4 linked regions of the Arabidopsis thaliana genome follow. The protein of the gene in region 3 interacts with the protein of the main gene of each other region in a pairwise test. Each region holds a gene or a part of one and is shown on either strand. Other genes may lie near its edges.

What was found.
Region 1: the proteins of AT3G10590 (region 3) and HB20 interact in a two-hybrid assay, tested with the Arabidopsis thaliana proteins (one large-scale study listed by BioGRID).
Region 2: the proteins of AT3G10590 (region 3) and EIL2 interact in a two-hybrid assay, tested with the Arabidopsis thaliana proteins (one large-scale study listed by BioGRID).
Region 4: the proteins of AT3G10590 (region 3) and LBD32 interact in a two-hybrid assay, tested with the Arabidopsis thaliana proteins (one large-scale study listed by BioGRID).

The regions. Positions count from the first base shown.
Region 1 is NC_003074.8:71,258-76,045, reverse strand, and holds HB20 (homeobox protein 20), read right to left. Parts: upstream 2,740-4,788; 5' UTR 2,448-2,739; coding exon 2,309-2,447; intron 2,233-2,308; coding exon 1,847-2,232; intron 1,087-1,846; coding exon 751-1,086; 3' UTR 507-750; downstream 1-506. Other genes in the region: AT3G01210 (RNA-binding (RRM/RBD/RNP motifs) family protein), read right to left, coding at 2,887-3,345, 3,420-3,518, 3,589-3,664, 3,749-3,864; RP2 (PPDK regulatory protein 2), read left to right, coding at 4,698-4,788. UniProt on the Arabidopsis thaliana protein: Probable transcription factor.
Region 2 is NC_003076.8:7,180,595-7,184,849, reverse strand, and holds EIL2 (ETHYLENE-INSENSITIVE3-like 2), read right to left. Parts: upstream 2,262-4,255; 5' UTR 2,243-2,261; coding exon 665-2,242; 3' UTR 508-664; downstream 1-507. UniProt on the Arabidopsis thaliana protein: Probable transcription factor acting as a positive regulator in the ethylene response pathway. Could bind the primary ethylene response element present in the ETHYLENE-RESPONSE-FACTOR1 promoter.
Region 3 is NC_003074.8:3,309,669-3,313,018, reverse strand, and holds AT3G10590 (Duplicated homeodomain-like superfamily protein), read left to right. Parts: upstream 1-1,691; 5' UTR 1,692-1,707; coding exon 1,708-2,063; intron 2,064-2,330; coding exon 2,331-2,595; 3' UTR 2,596-2,811; downstream 2,812-3,350. Other genes in the region: AT3G10595 (Duplicated homeodomain-like superfamily protein), read left to right, coding at 204-472, 832-1,114.
Region 4 is NC_003075.7:11,931,311-11,934,456, reverse strand, and holds LBD32 (LOB domain-containing protein 32), read right to left. Parts: upstream 1,161-3,146; 5' UTR 1,157-1,160; coding exon 578-1,156; 3' UTR 571-577; downstream 1-570. Other genes in the region: CYP706A1 (cytochrome P450, family 706, subfamily A, polypeptide 1), read right to left, coding at 2,937-3,146.

The sequences.
Region 1 (4,788 bases), 3.2 Mb from region 3:
AACAAAGAATAGATATGTCTATGTAGATGAAGTGAACGTGAATACTGTATTTGGTATTACATGCAACTACGTGACGCATGGCATAGTTTTTTTTTTTTTTTATAATAAAAAGTTAATGGTTCCATTAATCCATTAAGATTTAAATTGCAACTTGCAAAGATAAAATCATAAAATATAAAATATATATTAAAATAATCTTTGCATATAATATTAGTCATGGATCATGTTATGTCAAAGACAGAGCTGGAATCCCACTCGAAGTCACATGCATATGAATCTTTCTCACTTTTATATCCTTACTTTCTTAATAAATTTGTACCAACCCATCATATATATATAAAATTGGACATATAAGTTGAGAAAAATCATGATTTTTAATCTCACTCAATTGGTTAGAGGAGAGTTTTGTTCGGGAAGTAAAAGAGAGTGGTTATGCTTTTTTGAACCATTTACATATATTGTAAACTGTGATCAATCCACATACATCTAACAATGTTACGGCCGAATGCAAAGAACTTTATGATTTTTATTAAATTAAAGCAACAACAAATTTTCGCACTATACACCAATGCTCTACAAACCCAAAGAAAACAAAATGCTCCATTAATTTAAATTGAAATGAGTAGCAATAACATAATTCCAAAGAGAAGAATTGTGTCTTGATCTTCTCCTGATGATATGATGATGATGATTATGATCATTTGTCTTGATGCGTGCTGATGACTTTTTTTTGAGCTTTAGAATCATGAATCAGTTGAACTGGTGGTGGTGGTGGTTGTGGTTTGGGTCAGACCATGCCCAGTAACCAGCCGGCGTCGTTTCATCAATGCCATTAAACATGTTACAAAGGCTTTCTTCTTGAACTATTTCATGATTCTGATGATGATCATCATCATGTGCAGATGATCGAATCGATGAAGGGAATAGGTCTTTGATCGTGTTCACATGTGTTGTAATGGTCTCTCTAGGCATCTCCAGATTGATGTCTGAACTATTCTCTGTGCTTCCGTTGTTGCTCCATGAAGCTTCTGCTTCTCTCTTTACTATGTTTCCTTCATTACATTCTTTGTTCTTTAAAGCCATTACCTTTAACCATCATCACACACAATTCAAATGTTAAGTTTTAGAAATTCAGATATTAAAAATTATCATTTCTATATATCATTAAAATAAACATAATTATATATAATTTAAATTAACAAAATATTTTTAAAATGACTAATAACTTAAAATAGATAAACTGTAAGACTATATATGTAAATTATATATTTACATATACTTAGCTTAAGTAATTTTTGAAAATCTTGTAACTATTACATTTCAATAAGTAGTAAAATCATTTAAAACACACAAAAATGATATGATATAAAAATCAGTATTCTTGTCAAATTTGGTTAGCGCACACATGCCATTACTTGATAGTCATATGGGAATGTATTAATTAAATTGTAAATATTGATCAAGAATCCTTTTTATTAATAAACAAAACACCTACTGTCTTTTGACAAACATCTTATAGTGTTGGATCATGTGCCTAACAATAATCTATTGCATTTCGTATTAAACGACTTTAATACACACAAGATACATACATATATATATATATATACACTGATATATATACACATATATATATACTACATAAATAGTACCAATCCAAGCCAATAATCAGAAAAATATTTGTAGTCCTAGATTTATTTTACGTTGGTTATTACTATTAGTGCAAAACCAAAAATAAAAAAACCAAAGAAAAAAACAAACACAATCAAATTAGAAATGAAAGTTGAATTAAACACCTTATTTACTATATAAACACACATATATACTTACTTATATAGATACATACCTCAGCAAGGAGTTTCTTGTTATAGGCAAGTAGAGAAGCATTGTCGGATTTAAGAGACTCAAACTGTTTCTTGAGTGAATCATAATCTCTCTCGAGCTGTCTAGTCTTCCACCTAGCTCTCCTGTTTTGAAACCAAATCGCGATCTGTCTTGGTTGCATCCCTAATGCTTTAGCTAGTTGTATCTTCCTCTCTGGCTCCAGCTTGTTACCAAGCTCAAAGCTCTTCTCTAATGCCTTAACTTGCTCTAATTGCAGCCTCTTCTTCTTCTCTCCCAGCATAGTATGTGCCCCATCGTCTGATAGATTCTCCTCATCCAAGGTTTGATTATGATCTTCTTGCACGTTCATTAAAGACATAGATCTGTTCATCATGTAGTTTCCTCCTCCTATATACACCAACAGAATTCATGACTCAAATCTATTTATGTGGAGAAATAGTGAGAGAAAGAGAGAGTATAGTACCATTGAAGAGATGAGGAGGACAAGAAGGGAGCTGATCTTGACTGTTGTCTTCATGAAGTTGTTGGAACATAAAACCATGTTGAGGAAACGCCATCTCTAATCTCAATCCAGCTTCTGTTGTTGGATCAAACACATACATGTATGTATTCCACCAAAAACCTATCAGTGATTAATGGATTGTGAAATCAGTATAGTGATGATCAAATATACTTTGTTGTTTGCAGATTTGGAAATCACTATCAAATGAGTTAGGTGTTTCTTGTGGATCTCATCAACCTCTCATATAAGAGAAAGAGAGAGAAAGAATGAGGAAAGGATCAAGCTAGGGAGGTTTCTAGGACCCATCCTTAATATTTTAAAAGCTTTAGGCTTATTATTATATTTCATATATATTCTCCAGTTCATGTAATAAAGTTATTTTATAGTTTCTGCCTCAAATATTTTCGATCATGTAACGTTACTAATCATATCTTCATGATGGTTTTTTTTTTCTTTTTCTTTTCACAACACCTTTTATGCTTTAAAACCTCACATATCATTTATTTATGTTTTCCAAGGAAGCCCAAAGACTTTTTACATCAATTGCTTCCTCCTCCACCGATATGGGCCGCTGCTTTTGCAGCCCGGCCCAAAGCATCTGAGAACCATAAAGCCCCATTAGCAAAGTAACGACTGTTGACCACACTAGTCGCTGCAGCTGCAGCCACTTTCCCTGTAATGGTGGCTGCGGCTACAGCAGCTGTGCCCGTGACAAGAACCGCGGATTTAGTGAAATCCGAGAAATGATACTTCTCGTCCGCTGATCTCACGAGTTCCATACTCGACTGAATGTTCTGTGTGAGGCCAAGGTAATGGCTGATCTCTGCCAATTTGGTCGCTACCAAGCTTGAAAATCTCTGAGACTCATCCAAAGCTTTGGCTTTACCAATCGCGTCTTTGCTTAAAACGTAGCCTTTAGCTAACATCGTCTGCACAACTTGTTGAGCCACGGTTATGGCCTCTCCAGGCGATGAAGCAAACGCGTCTGAACGAGTCACCTACAAAGAAACATTTTCGAGAATCTTTGGCTTATAACCTAAAGTAACCTAGTAAGTATTGTTTTTAATGTTACCGTAACACTATAGTCTTCTTCTTGTCTGAGATTGTTAGATTCATGTAAATAGACACCGTAGACCGATATCCAAACGGTTTGATCAACGATCGTAGCTCCCTGAAGATCAACATTAAAATCAATGCCAAGAAGATCATACTGGAAATTTCTAGCTAATTAAGGGACTTACGCTAAGTAACACAGCCATATCCAGAGCATACGCATCTCTGAAGGTTACATAAGCCGTTAATGCATCCCCTTGGCACCTGAAATCCATGGAGACATGAAACAAAATATAAACAGATTCAAGAATGATTAATAATTTACTGAACAATGAACGTTGTTGTTACCCGGTGATTTCAACGAGCTCGACGATACCACAGTGAGAGAAGAACCTATGAACATCTTTCTCAGTGGCTTGAGGAGACAAGTTGGTGACTTGAGCAACGTAACCACAAGGATACATTATATTGTTCTGTTTTCTCACACGAACCTAGATACCTAAATCAAAGAACAAACATAAACAAGATTCTTGAATCACATTCCGTGAACCGTTGAGCGATTTTCTAGAGATTTATACAGCAAGAAATCTACAAAGCTACGATTACTATAATGATTCAAATAAAAAAAATAAAAAAGGTGTCCAGGCCAAATAGTTAGCGGAGAGGGAAGAAAGAAGAAGTAAGAACCCTAGATTATAATTGAATGAGATAAGAGATGAAAGTAACAGTAACAAAGATAATCAATGAGATATGTATCAACCAACCACACAATCGGAAACTTCGAGAAGCAGGGCACGAAAAAAAACTGATAGTGTATGTTCTGTTTTAGATTACCCGATTAAGGCACAATAGAACAGGACGTCACAGGATTGAAGCCAAGTATCGAAAGAGACGGAGAGAAAAGAAGACAAGATTCGTGTGATTGTGAGAGAGAAAGAGGATTCTTCAAATTTAAACAAAAAAAGAAAGAAGAGGAATGTTAACATTTAAACCAAAAAAGAAAGAAGAGGAATGTTCACATAATTTTTTTTCTTTTGTCGGCTCGATCGATATCGATGTTGTGGTCGACGATACGCGTCAAACGTAAGCTCTAGCGATGCGCGTGTTATTATTGTTTCCACGAGTCTTTTGGGCACTTTTTACTTAGGCTTTTTAAAGCCCAAATATCTGTTTTCAAGCCCAAGTAATTAGTGAGGACATTTTCGTCAATTTTTCATCGGAACGCAATTTAGCGGTTAACGCCTTAACCGTCGCTCAGAAAAAAAAAAAAAAAAAAGTTATCATAAACTTTGGCGATATGAATTTACACGGCGTCTCGGGCCATCACGAGCCTAATTCCGAACCTCCAATTCCGACAGGTTCGTCGAGTCCGAAGCTGAAGATTAGTC
Region 2 (4,255 bases), on a different chromosome or scaffold from region 3:
ATTTATATTTCTTGTAAACTCTTTATAATATAAGTATTTGATTTGCCGAAAAAGGTATAGTTTTATATAGTAAGGTCTTCACATAGTTTTATTTTATGAATTTAATATGCGAAATATCATTTAAATATTTCTGAAATTATTCATATTAACTTTAAAATAGCATATCGTCAAACTTAGTTTATTTGATTTTTCAATTTGAGATTTATATAGAAATACATCTTTTAACCATTAATCTCTTTTAAAGGCACAAAATTAATTTAACACATAAAAAATCTGTTATTTATAGAAAACAATTCCCTATAAAAAGACATAATAAAAAGACATAAATAAAAATATTATCATACCAACAAAGTTTAAATTATTTAATATTAAAAATGTCTACAAACGCCTTCTTCCTTGAAGCCCAAGGCGAACACAAATACACACCTCTAAAGTCTAAACAAATAAAGCATTTTCTACTGTTCTTTTGTCAAAAAGAGAGGCTCTTCAAATCACATAATGAATTACTTTGAATTTGGTTATTAACTTATTATGAAACCTAATCTTCTCCATTGCTACATGGGCTATGAAATGGAGAGATCAAAAACTGTGTTTAATGAGAGAATAAGCAAGAGACAAAGCTATAAAGACTAGAAAACATAAAAAGAAAACTCTGAAGCTTTCTTTACTGAATCCAAGATGTGGGCAACTCTTGCCCTTGATTATGCAGATTGTTCTCTGTTCCTACTGTTTCCTCACCTCCATTGAAGTCAGTAGGTAAGACTAAACCAAGATTCTGATTCAGCGTCGAAGGAGAAGGATTCAAATCCTCAACCAAGTCATCGTTGCCTCTTTGTGGAGCTTTTGGTCTGTAGAGATCGTTGGGATGATTAAACTGGTCTTGAAAGCTCTGAACCTGCTGCTGCATCCCGTTATAATCCGGACAAGGAACCATTAAACCCGTCATACCATAGGGTTTAGTTGGTTGGTAGAAGGAAGTGACTTTATAAGGACAAGTCATTTGGTGATTCTCTCTTAAGTTCCTGTCAAGAAATCCCATATGTGGTTGGCTATAAGGACAGAGACTGTTCTCACATGTTAGGAGTGTTGGATGCATTGGCATCCCAAAATCTTCTTCAAACTTTCTCTTGTAAACACAGTTGTAGTTGTTTTCAAATTCAGGATACTGCTGATTGGTCCGATGAGTGCCACCAATCAGTTCAACATCATAGTCTGTAGATTCAGGAAACAAAACATCTGGGTCTCCACCGGTTGCAGGAACAAGAAAGTTAGAAGTGTTGTTGTTTTCTCTAGACATGGCTATTTGATCAACAATAGCCTTTTCTCGGTAAAGAGCAGCGAGCCATAAAGCGCCTTCTCTTGACGTCATTTTCTCCTGCAAACTTCTAGACCGTCTCACGAGATTGGGTATGTTGCTAATGTCAGAAGCCATATGTCTGATTACACCAATCAAAACACCAATTTTCCACAGCTTCTTGAGATCATGAGGCTTCTTGTAAGGTGGCGGAACACCTCGAAAATCAACGGGTAAAGACAGTTGATCCCACCAATCTTCTTTCCCCGTTGGCCACCATGGCGGTGTCACGCCTTTCTCCAACGGAAACCGCCTCTGAGGAGGGTTGCAGTGAGGAAACAGAGCCGATAACAGAGCTCCAAGAGTAGTATCTTGAAGCTCAAGCAACTTCTGTGCGGTAGAATCCCCAACCTCAGACCCTGAATCACTTCCATCAGAAAGATTGATATCCCTTTGGTGCTTGATTATAGCAGCTGGGCCGTTCCTATCAAACCTCACTTTGTCTTTCCACCATTCACGGAGATTATCAGAAGATCCCGCTACCGTTTTCCCATTCTCTAACACAATCCCATAAACAAAACCTTGAGCTTTATATCGCTCCATTGTCTTCGACATGTACTTCAAGATCCCATCTTGTGCCTTGTACATGGTTCTCTTACTAGAGTGCTCTGGAAAATCATCATGTTGCTGCTTCAACAACAATCTTGTTCCTAGACCGTTCTTCGCCATTTCCTTGAGCCGCTTTAAACGCTGCTTGTCTCTCCAGATCTTCTTCTCAAGCTCCTCTATTTCCATTTCCTCATCACTACTCAGATCATCGCACAAAGCCGTATGCGAATCAGAACACATATGTCCCTCTGTAAATGGAGGCGCCGAGCTACAAACTAAACTCCGGAACATCCCTATATTGTTGTTATACATATCCATAGAATCTGCAAATAATGTCATCAACTATGATTCACTTTAAGAATAAAATTGCATAATCATCGTCATTTAGTAATGCCGTATTTATCAAAATCTAAATTAAAACTCTCTAGCAATAACATAACACAAAAGAAAAAAACAGAGACTTTTAGTGAAAGATCGAGAGATCTAACTTGTGAAATAAGATTCATCATATGAATAACACAAAGATTTAGAGATCCAAATTCCATTAGTTATTACTCCCAAGGGATTGAATAAATACTATAGGAAAACTACTACCAAAGAGATTAAGTACATAATATAGGAGAAATATTTAGAGAAGGTAAAAGAAAATCACAAACAAGATTAATGGTTTATCATCAAATGATTATACAGTAAAAGCATCGATCTTTTTCTTTCTTTTGATTCTTATCAAAGCATATAACGACAAAACAATCCAGTCCGTATTACTACTGAAATACTTGATCTTGCAAAAGTGAAAATGGAACCCATCGGACAAAATATCAGATAGACCAAACCCAACAAGTCAAAAAACAATATTTGCAAGCAGACAATATACGTAAAAGCAAAACAAAACAAAAACAAAAATAAAGAGAAATCGAAGGAAGAAGAGAATATACCCAGAAAACTCTTGAGACCTTTGTGTTGCTTCGGCCACCAAATTCAAACCAAAGAAGCTATTGGGACCTTCAGAGAGAGAGAAGAGATAGAGACATGTATGTATGTATGTTTGTGTATCTATATATATTATGAGCATTAAATAAGAAGAGACTGCGAAAGGGTGGTGATAATAGGCCTGTAAAAACCATGCTAAACGACACATTTCTTTGTGTAAGGATATGGTAAAAATTTCTTATTTATCTCCTTTGAGTTTCATTCCATTTCTAGTTCAGATTCTTTATTTAAATATATAGTCACTTCTTTTAAAAAAAAGAAAAATTAACATGCCCATAAAATGGTTATTTCTGCCTAAATTATTTTTTGTTTGATAGCCTAAAATTATTAATATCAATATAAAAAATATAATCATGTCTACTATAAGAAAAATATCAAATGTAGATGTATGCTTAAGCGGGAAAAATATAACCCCTAAACATAAAGCGAGTATTTTTGAAAACAAATAGGAATCAAGTACCAAATATAGACATTTTCTAAGGCACGTAAATTTACTATTTTAATGGTATAAAATCGTAGCATGTAATTTTTTTTTTATAAAATATTTAAATAATAGCTTTAAATTAATTGGTGCGTATGTTTGAATTTTAAAATTTGTTAATGCATTTAATTTCATGGGGAGCTGTATCTAAATATATCGGTCTAGATAAACAAATAGTAAAACAGTAAGTAGTTCCGTACGATCTATTTATACTTTAAAAAAAACAAAATACAACCTATTTATACTAATTTACTTGTATTAGTTTTATCAATTAGTTTTTACAATGGAATTTAAATGAGATTCTTGTAGTTCTACCAAGTCCTGAATACTAAAAACTTATCATGCCCAAAGACTTACAAAATAATTACTCTCTTTGTATCAAAATAAAAACGTTTAAATTTTTCCATATTAAGAAATTAATGATTTTCTTTATTTTACTAAATCAAAAGATATTTTATGATTTATCTAATCACAGTCCAACCAATAAAAATAAAGTAAAAAATGCACATTGTCATAAAATATATAGAAATTATTACATTTTGCTTTGAAAATGTAAACAAATCACATAATATGATATAGAAAAAAATATCATAGTTTTAAATACAAAAGCTGGCAGAGTATGAAAGAAAAGGGAAAAAATGTTGCCAGTACTCACTAATTAATTCTGATACATATATGATAATGCTAAAAAAACAAAATTATTGAAGAATTCCTTAAAATAGCTCAGAATTGTGGCGCTTTCAATTTCTTACAAAATACCAAATTTCCATGATTTTTGTTTAAACATTTAAAAGCATACAATTTGACATTCTTTAGAATAGAATAAAAATACTTAGTTTACCATTTTTGTTTTTGCATTATATTAGTATATGCTAGATATA
Region 3 (3,350 bases):
AAATTTACCCTTTGAATATAAGAAAAAGGAAGGAAACTTAATACACCCCAATTTGAGAGAAGAGAAGCCATATATTTTTTGTTACTTGAGTTGATTTATAAGCTGCCATATCCCTTACATGAGTTATTATATATACTGTAGTTCTCCAGATTCACACCATTCTGTTTTGTAGACTTCATTTTCCTTAATTTGTTTTGGGAATCATGGCTGAAAATTCATGGACGACAGAGGAGAACGAGATGTTCAAGGATGCACTGGTGATGTTCACTGCCTTTTTGCTTACTCGGTTTGAGAGTGTCGCCGAGTATGTGGATAGATCGGTGGATGATGTTAAGGAGCATTACAAGGAATTGGTCAATGATCTTTTAGAGATGGGATCCAGTCGAGTAGCTTTTCCTAATGAATTGACTAAGGATATGGCTCAAAGTTCGTACCAGGCCGAGAGAACTATATGGACCAAAGAAACACATGAGTAAGTATATAAGATTAATGAGTGATGAGTTATGATTTTTGTTAGTTAGTGGAATTTACATACACGTATAAGTTTCAATTATAAACATAATGATTGATTAGTACTGGTATTGGTTTGTGGATCTAGCTAGACGCATTCTCCTCTTAGACTCCATAATTCACATAGTTCATTTCTGAGATTAAAATGTATTTAGTCCTATGATCTTACGATTTACACATTCTAGCATTATTTTTTTAATGTGGACAATATAGTTTTTTTTTTTTTTTCATTTGACTCAATTTATATCGTTAACTAATAATGCCATGGTGAAACTTGATTAAAATGGGCTGATCTATGAACTGGTGGAAATTGTAATGCAGATGGTTTCTGATTGGGTTAGACCGATTTGGGAAAGATTGGCGTAAAATAGCCGTCTTATTGGATTGCAAGAGCCCGATCCAAGTCGAGATATATGCAGAAAACTTTTACCAGTGGCAAAGCTCAAAGAAAAATGTGATTAACGACTTAAATGTGGCAAGCACCGATGTGAATGTGATGAAACGGCAGGGAGCAAATAACACCAATGTGGACTCAACAGGCCAACAAGAGAGTCTCGTCGCTCTGGAAATCGGTCACCATGCTAAGGCCCCCAACTCAAAGTGATATAAATCTCTATGACTGTATTAACAACCAAAAAATAAAAAGCCTAAAGATATTGAAGGCCCTTGATTATTTTTTTTGTGTGGTATGTTAAAGATTTGGGATTTCCATTTTTTTGGCAAACCATATTTTATTTAATTTTGTGGTCATCTATATTATTTTCTTTAACCATTAAAATAATATATATTTCAATGTTTTTATTTTTTGCTTTATTTCATCTAGGCTAAACAGAAGATACACGTAAGATGGAGCTTTCAAGTTAAGTACGTAGTATATATAAAGTTGGGGTTAAATAGGAAACTAAAATAACTTGAAATTACACTCCAAGTTTTACCCACTGCGTACGTCTAAACGTAAACGAGAAGAAAACTTCTGAGTCAAGTTGTGCGTGTTTAAATACGAAATCGTGTTTCTTTTTGTAAAGTGAGGGCTAATTTTGTAATTTTCACCCATTACTTGATCCTCTATAAATTGTCAGGTTGCCAAAATTAAAACGAACAAACAATCGCTCTTCCGTAACATATTCCACAAAACGATCTTCTTGTTTCTTGAATTTTTAGCCATCTCTTTTTTTTTTTCTCATTTTCTCGGATACTATGGCTTCGAGTCCACGCTGGACGGAGGACGACAACAGGCGTTTTAAGTCAGCTCTGTCGCAATTCCCTCCGGATAACAAGCGTTTGGTGAATGTCGCCCAGCATCTGCCGAAACCTTTGGAGGAGGTGAAGTACTACTACGAAAAGTTGGTCAACGATGTTTATCTGCCGAAACCTTTAGAGAATGTCACCCAGCATCTGCAGAAACCTATGGAAATGGAGGAGATGAAGTACATGTACGAAAAGATGGCCAACGATGTTAATCAGATGCCCGAGTACGTACCACTGGCGGAATCGAGTCAGTCCAAACGCAGGAAGAAGGATACGCCAAATCCTTGGACAGAAGAGGAACACAGGTTAGTCATCAAATACTTATGAATTAGGGTTTCTTTTGATTGAGGAAAAGTCTTAAATCTTGAGGAAAAGTATAAGTTAACAGTTCAAATCTCACAAAAAATGATTAGTTTGGGTTTTGTTGATTAGGGTAACGTATACAAGTATTTTTCTTCAGATAGATGTAATTATCAATTTGATTTATATTAATTTTAACATGATGATGCTGATTATGATAATATCTAGGTTATTAATTCTTATGATTTTGATTGTTTAATGATATATTTCAGATTGTTTCTGCAAGGATTGAAAAAGTATGGGGAAGGAGCTTCGACGTTGACATCAACGAATTTTGTGAAGACAAAGACTCCACGGCAAGTGTCAAGCCATGCACAGTATTACAAAAGGCAAAAATCGGACAATAAGAAGGAGAAACGCCGGAGTATTTTTGACATAACTTTGGAGTCTACCGAGGGCAATCCAGATTCTGGAAATCAGAACCCTCCGGATGATGATGATCCGTCCCAAGGTCAAGGCACTTGTCTTGGAGTTTAGATGTTGGAAGATAGAAGAATGGTGTGAAATGAAACAAGCAACGGAACTTGAACTCAAAAATAGATAATATATATATATATATATATAGATTTAATATAATAAAAAAGGAACTTCGCTTGTTTTCTGCATATGTATAGGATTGCTACGTAGTTTCGGTATACAAAAATATCAGTTTCACTTGATGATGTTCAAGTGTATAGGATAATTAATGATTCTATCAAGTATATGTTAGTTTTTATTTTAAATAGTTTCAAAACATTAAAAAAGCCAAGATATTATATTATATATAAAGTAAGTGAATATGATCACTAATTAAATGATCAATATTTAGTCAAACCGTTTGTCTTTCAGTATATTTAATTTACATGGAACTTGGAAGCATAATAAGACCAAAATTTTATAAGAAGATATATACTTTGAATTCTTTCTTGAACTGAAAAGTAATCTTTTCTTTCTTTCTTTAAATTCAAAAAAAATAGAATATTTATTTCTGTGATAAAGGCCGCGCGTAAACACGTTTAAAAGAAAGAAAATTCATAAAGAAGTCAGTCATACGTACTTAGAACTCTTTCTTGTACTGAAAGTTTTCATCTTTTTATTTTATTTTTTTCTGTGATAATTAAACAGACGTATAAACACGTTTAATAAAAAGAAAGACAGCTTCTGAGTTCTGAGTTTGATATATATAATATGGTGGTTAAGAACGAAATAAAATAACTCGGGTTTCTTTTATTAAATAAAGCAAAGAGGAGGGT
Region 4 (3,146 bases), on a different chromosome or scaffold from region 3:
GATAATAACATATATAATTTGATAGGAAATACAACGCCAATATTGACCAAGTCGCCCCCAGTGTTGAAGTCCCATTCAAATATTGTCTAAAGAGAAAAGAAAAAATAAAAATAAAAAATGAGCCAAAAGCTTTTTGTGTATGGACGACAGAGCACTCCTCGTCGGACTGTCGGAGAATTGTATTTCTTCTCATATCCAATTTTTAAACAGTAGAAAAACATGATGTTTTTAAGTGTTACAAACTTTAGAATTATTTCGGAGTTACCAATCAAGAATATACAAACATCTTCAAATCCTATAATATAGATTACTATTTGCAAAAAACTATGGAAATTAAATATGGAAATGCTGTTAATAAATCTTTATAAACTGGTCAAATTATGTTTTTTTTTTCTTAAAAACTTTGTGATATATTAAACTTAAGACATTACAAACTGTAGAATTATAAAAAGGAAAAACAGAGAAGAGAAACACAGAATTATTATGGAGACTCGAGTTTAAAAGAAATTCACGGAAAAGACATAATTAAAATTATTTTTGGTTTTGATTTTCAGAAAATGGAAGTATCTCTTCAATATCACTTACCAGCAGATGTTGATGCACCATCAGCTCTATGCCCATCTTTCAGGTTTTTATCTTCCATCTTCCCAAATATGCTATTCATTATCATTGGTGCATTATCAGCAGCAGTTGGGAGTTGCATAAGTTGATTCTTTTGAACTTCGTTTAAACTCTTAATTTTTGCAATAAAAGAATCTAAAGAGACTGGTGTCATGAGGAAATCATCTGGCATTGGAAGATCATAAAATTTTGGTACTTGATCGTGTCCCACATAGGTTCCAAGCTCATTCACCGCGGATTCAATATCTTGTTCAACATTATTGAGAATATTCTTGTATTGTAGAATCATGTCATGACAACCAGAAATAGGATTACGTATACGAGCCTCAGCAGCATAACGTAAACAGTTGGCAGCAATCTCTCGTTGTTCTGGAAATTCAAGATTATCAAGGATATTGCAAACATTCACGGCTCCAAAAATCTGAATAATAACTTTGAAACTTGCATCGTTTGATGGAAAATGTGGTGCATAAATGCACATTGGAGCACAAGTTTCATTCAAAATTTTGCAGACAGCACAACGGTTGGAAGCCATTCTTCTTTGTTTTATTTTCTCTCTTAACCCCTAAATAAAAAAATTGTATGAGAAAAAAAAATTATCAATACACTTTTAAATATATGCATATTTGATTTATATTAACAAAATTAAGAAAAATATCTTCAAGATATATAAAAATTTCTACATATTTAAATTATATATCATAAATAATACCACTAAAATTTATATTTTCACCATTGCTTGTGATGAGTAAAAAATCTACGTAAAACTACATAGATATATATATAATTTAAATATTCAATAAATCTTCCTAACTTAAGCGATTAGAAGTTCTTATAGAAATCGTACAAACATAACAATATCATATCAATGTAACATAAGAGAACAAATTCTCACGAAAGATCTCATAGTCGAATATTTATAAAATCATTTTTTGTTTTTTATGTAGCAATGAAAAGTGTATAAAATGGATGTAATAAAACATGAGTGGTATATATGAAAAACTATTATAAGTTAATGACAAATAAAAAAAACTTCATTTTAAACGTTAGATCAAGATGGTGAGATCATGCAATACCTTGCTCCAATGTAAGAAAATGTAGTAAATATAAATGATGCATAGAATAACAAAATGAGTCATAGTTTTATAGGCATGTCTCAAAACATATTTAAATTGCCATATCAATAATTTTAGGTAAGATAGCAATGTTCAATAAATATCGAAAATTTGACTTATTTATTTATGATGAAGAGTTATTGTTTGACTGCGCAATACTTGTTTAGGAAAGATAATAACATTATTTACTATAATTATTATTTTCCCAAATTATCATGACTAATGTCTAATAAAGGGGTGTTATTCGTTTATGATTTCAAAAGAATTTAAGTGATTTAAACTGTTATGTAAAATTTGTTGTTATTTAATCAAGACTTTTTAAAAGTATGTTAAAATTTTGTGTTATTCATTTAAGATTTGTAAAAAATAATTTAAAATCTTCATAAATTTTGGGTTATTAGATTTATACACTTATAAAGTCATTAAAAGTTTTGTGTTATTCAATTAAAACAAAAGAATCTTTGATTGTTAATAATTTAAATTATTATGTTATTGGTTCATGACTTTCTACATTTTTCTTCTTAAAATGAAGTCATGAAAAATCATTGAAAAGTATTATCAAAATAGAGAGATTGTTTGAAAAACTTTACAAAATTATGAAAAACTAATCAACAAGATTATAAAAAAGTCTCTAACAATCGTTTAAAATCTTTCATTTTTTTACTTTCTAGTATTTGATTGAAGTCATCAAAATTCCTTATAAATTAGGAACCAATTACACCCCCTAAATATCAAAAATTTGACTTATTTATTTACAGATAGATGAAAGTAAATAACTGTTTAAGTGTACACAGTATTTATATTTTTTGTAATGTATAATAGCGTCTTTTACGGTATTTTTTTTTTTCCAATTACCATGCATTAGATATGTCAAATTCTGAAGTTTTGAGTACCAGTTGATCGTTAATGTTTACATATCCAAAACTTCTGTGGTTCTTAAGCCCATACACTGTATGTGTAATTTTGTTGCCAAGAATTTTATAGCTTATGGTATCGACTTTGGACACCAAAATAATGCGTTATTATATATTGTGACTAAAACTTTATTTTATTATATATAAGAAAATTAAATTTAACTTGACACATCTTTTTTTACAAAGCATCAAACTCCAAACACGAATAAAGAAAAATAAACTTTAAACAAGAAAACTCAATTCAACTTCCTCTCATAAGCTCAAACCAAATTTCCTTCTTACTTACTTAAGCTGTATAGAGTTTTGGATCGGACAACCTTGGAACAGGAATAGCCACAAGTGGAGACTTCAACTTAAGAACAAGACCAAACTTCTCTTCAACCTCAAACTTCTGTCCTTGAGGTGCTTTCCAATCAAAAGAGTGAAGAAGTGAAGCAATGTTGAACAGAACAAGTCTCTCAGCCATGTTAATCGCCGCACAAATCCTCCTTCCTGA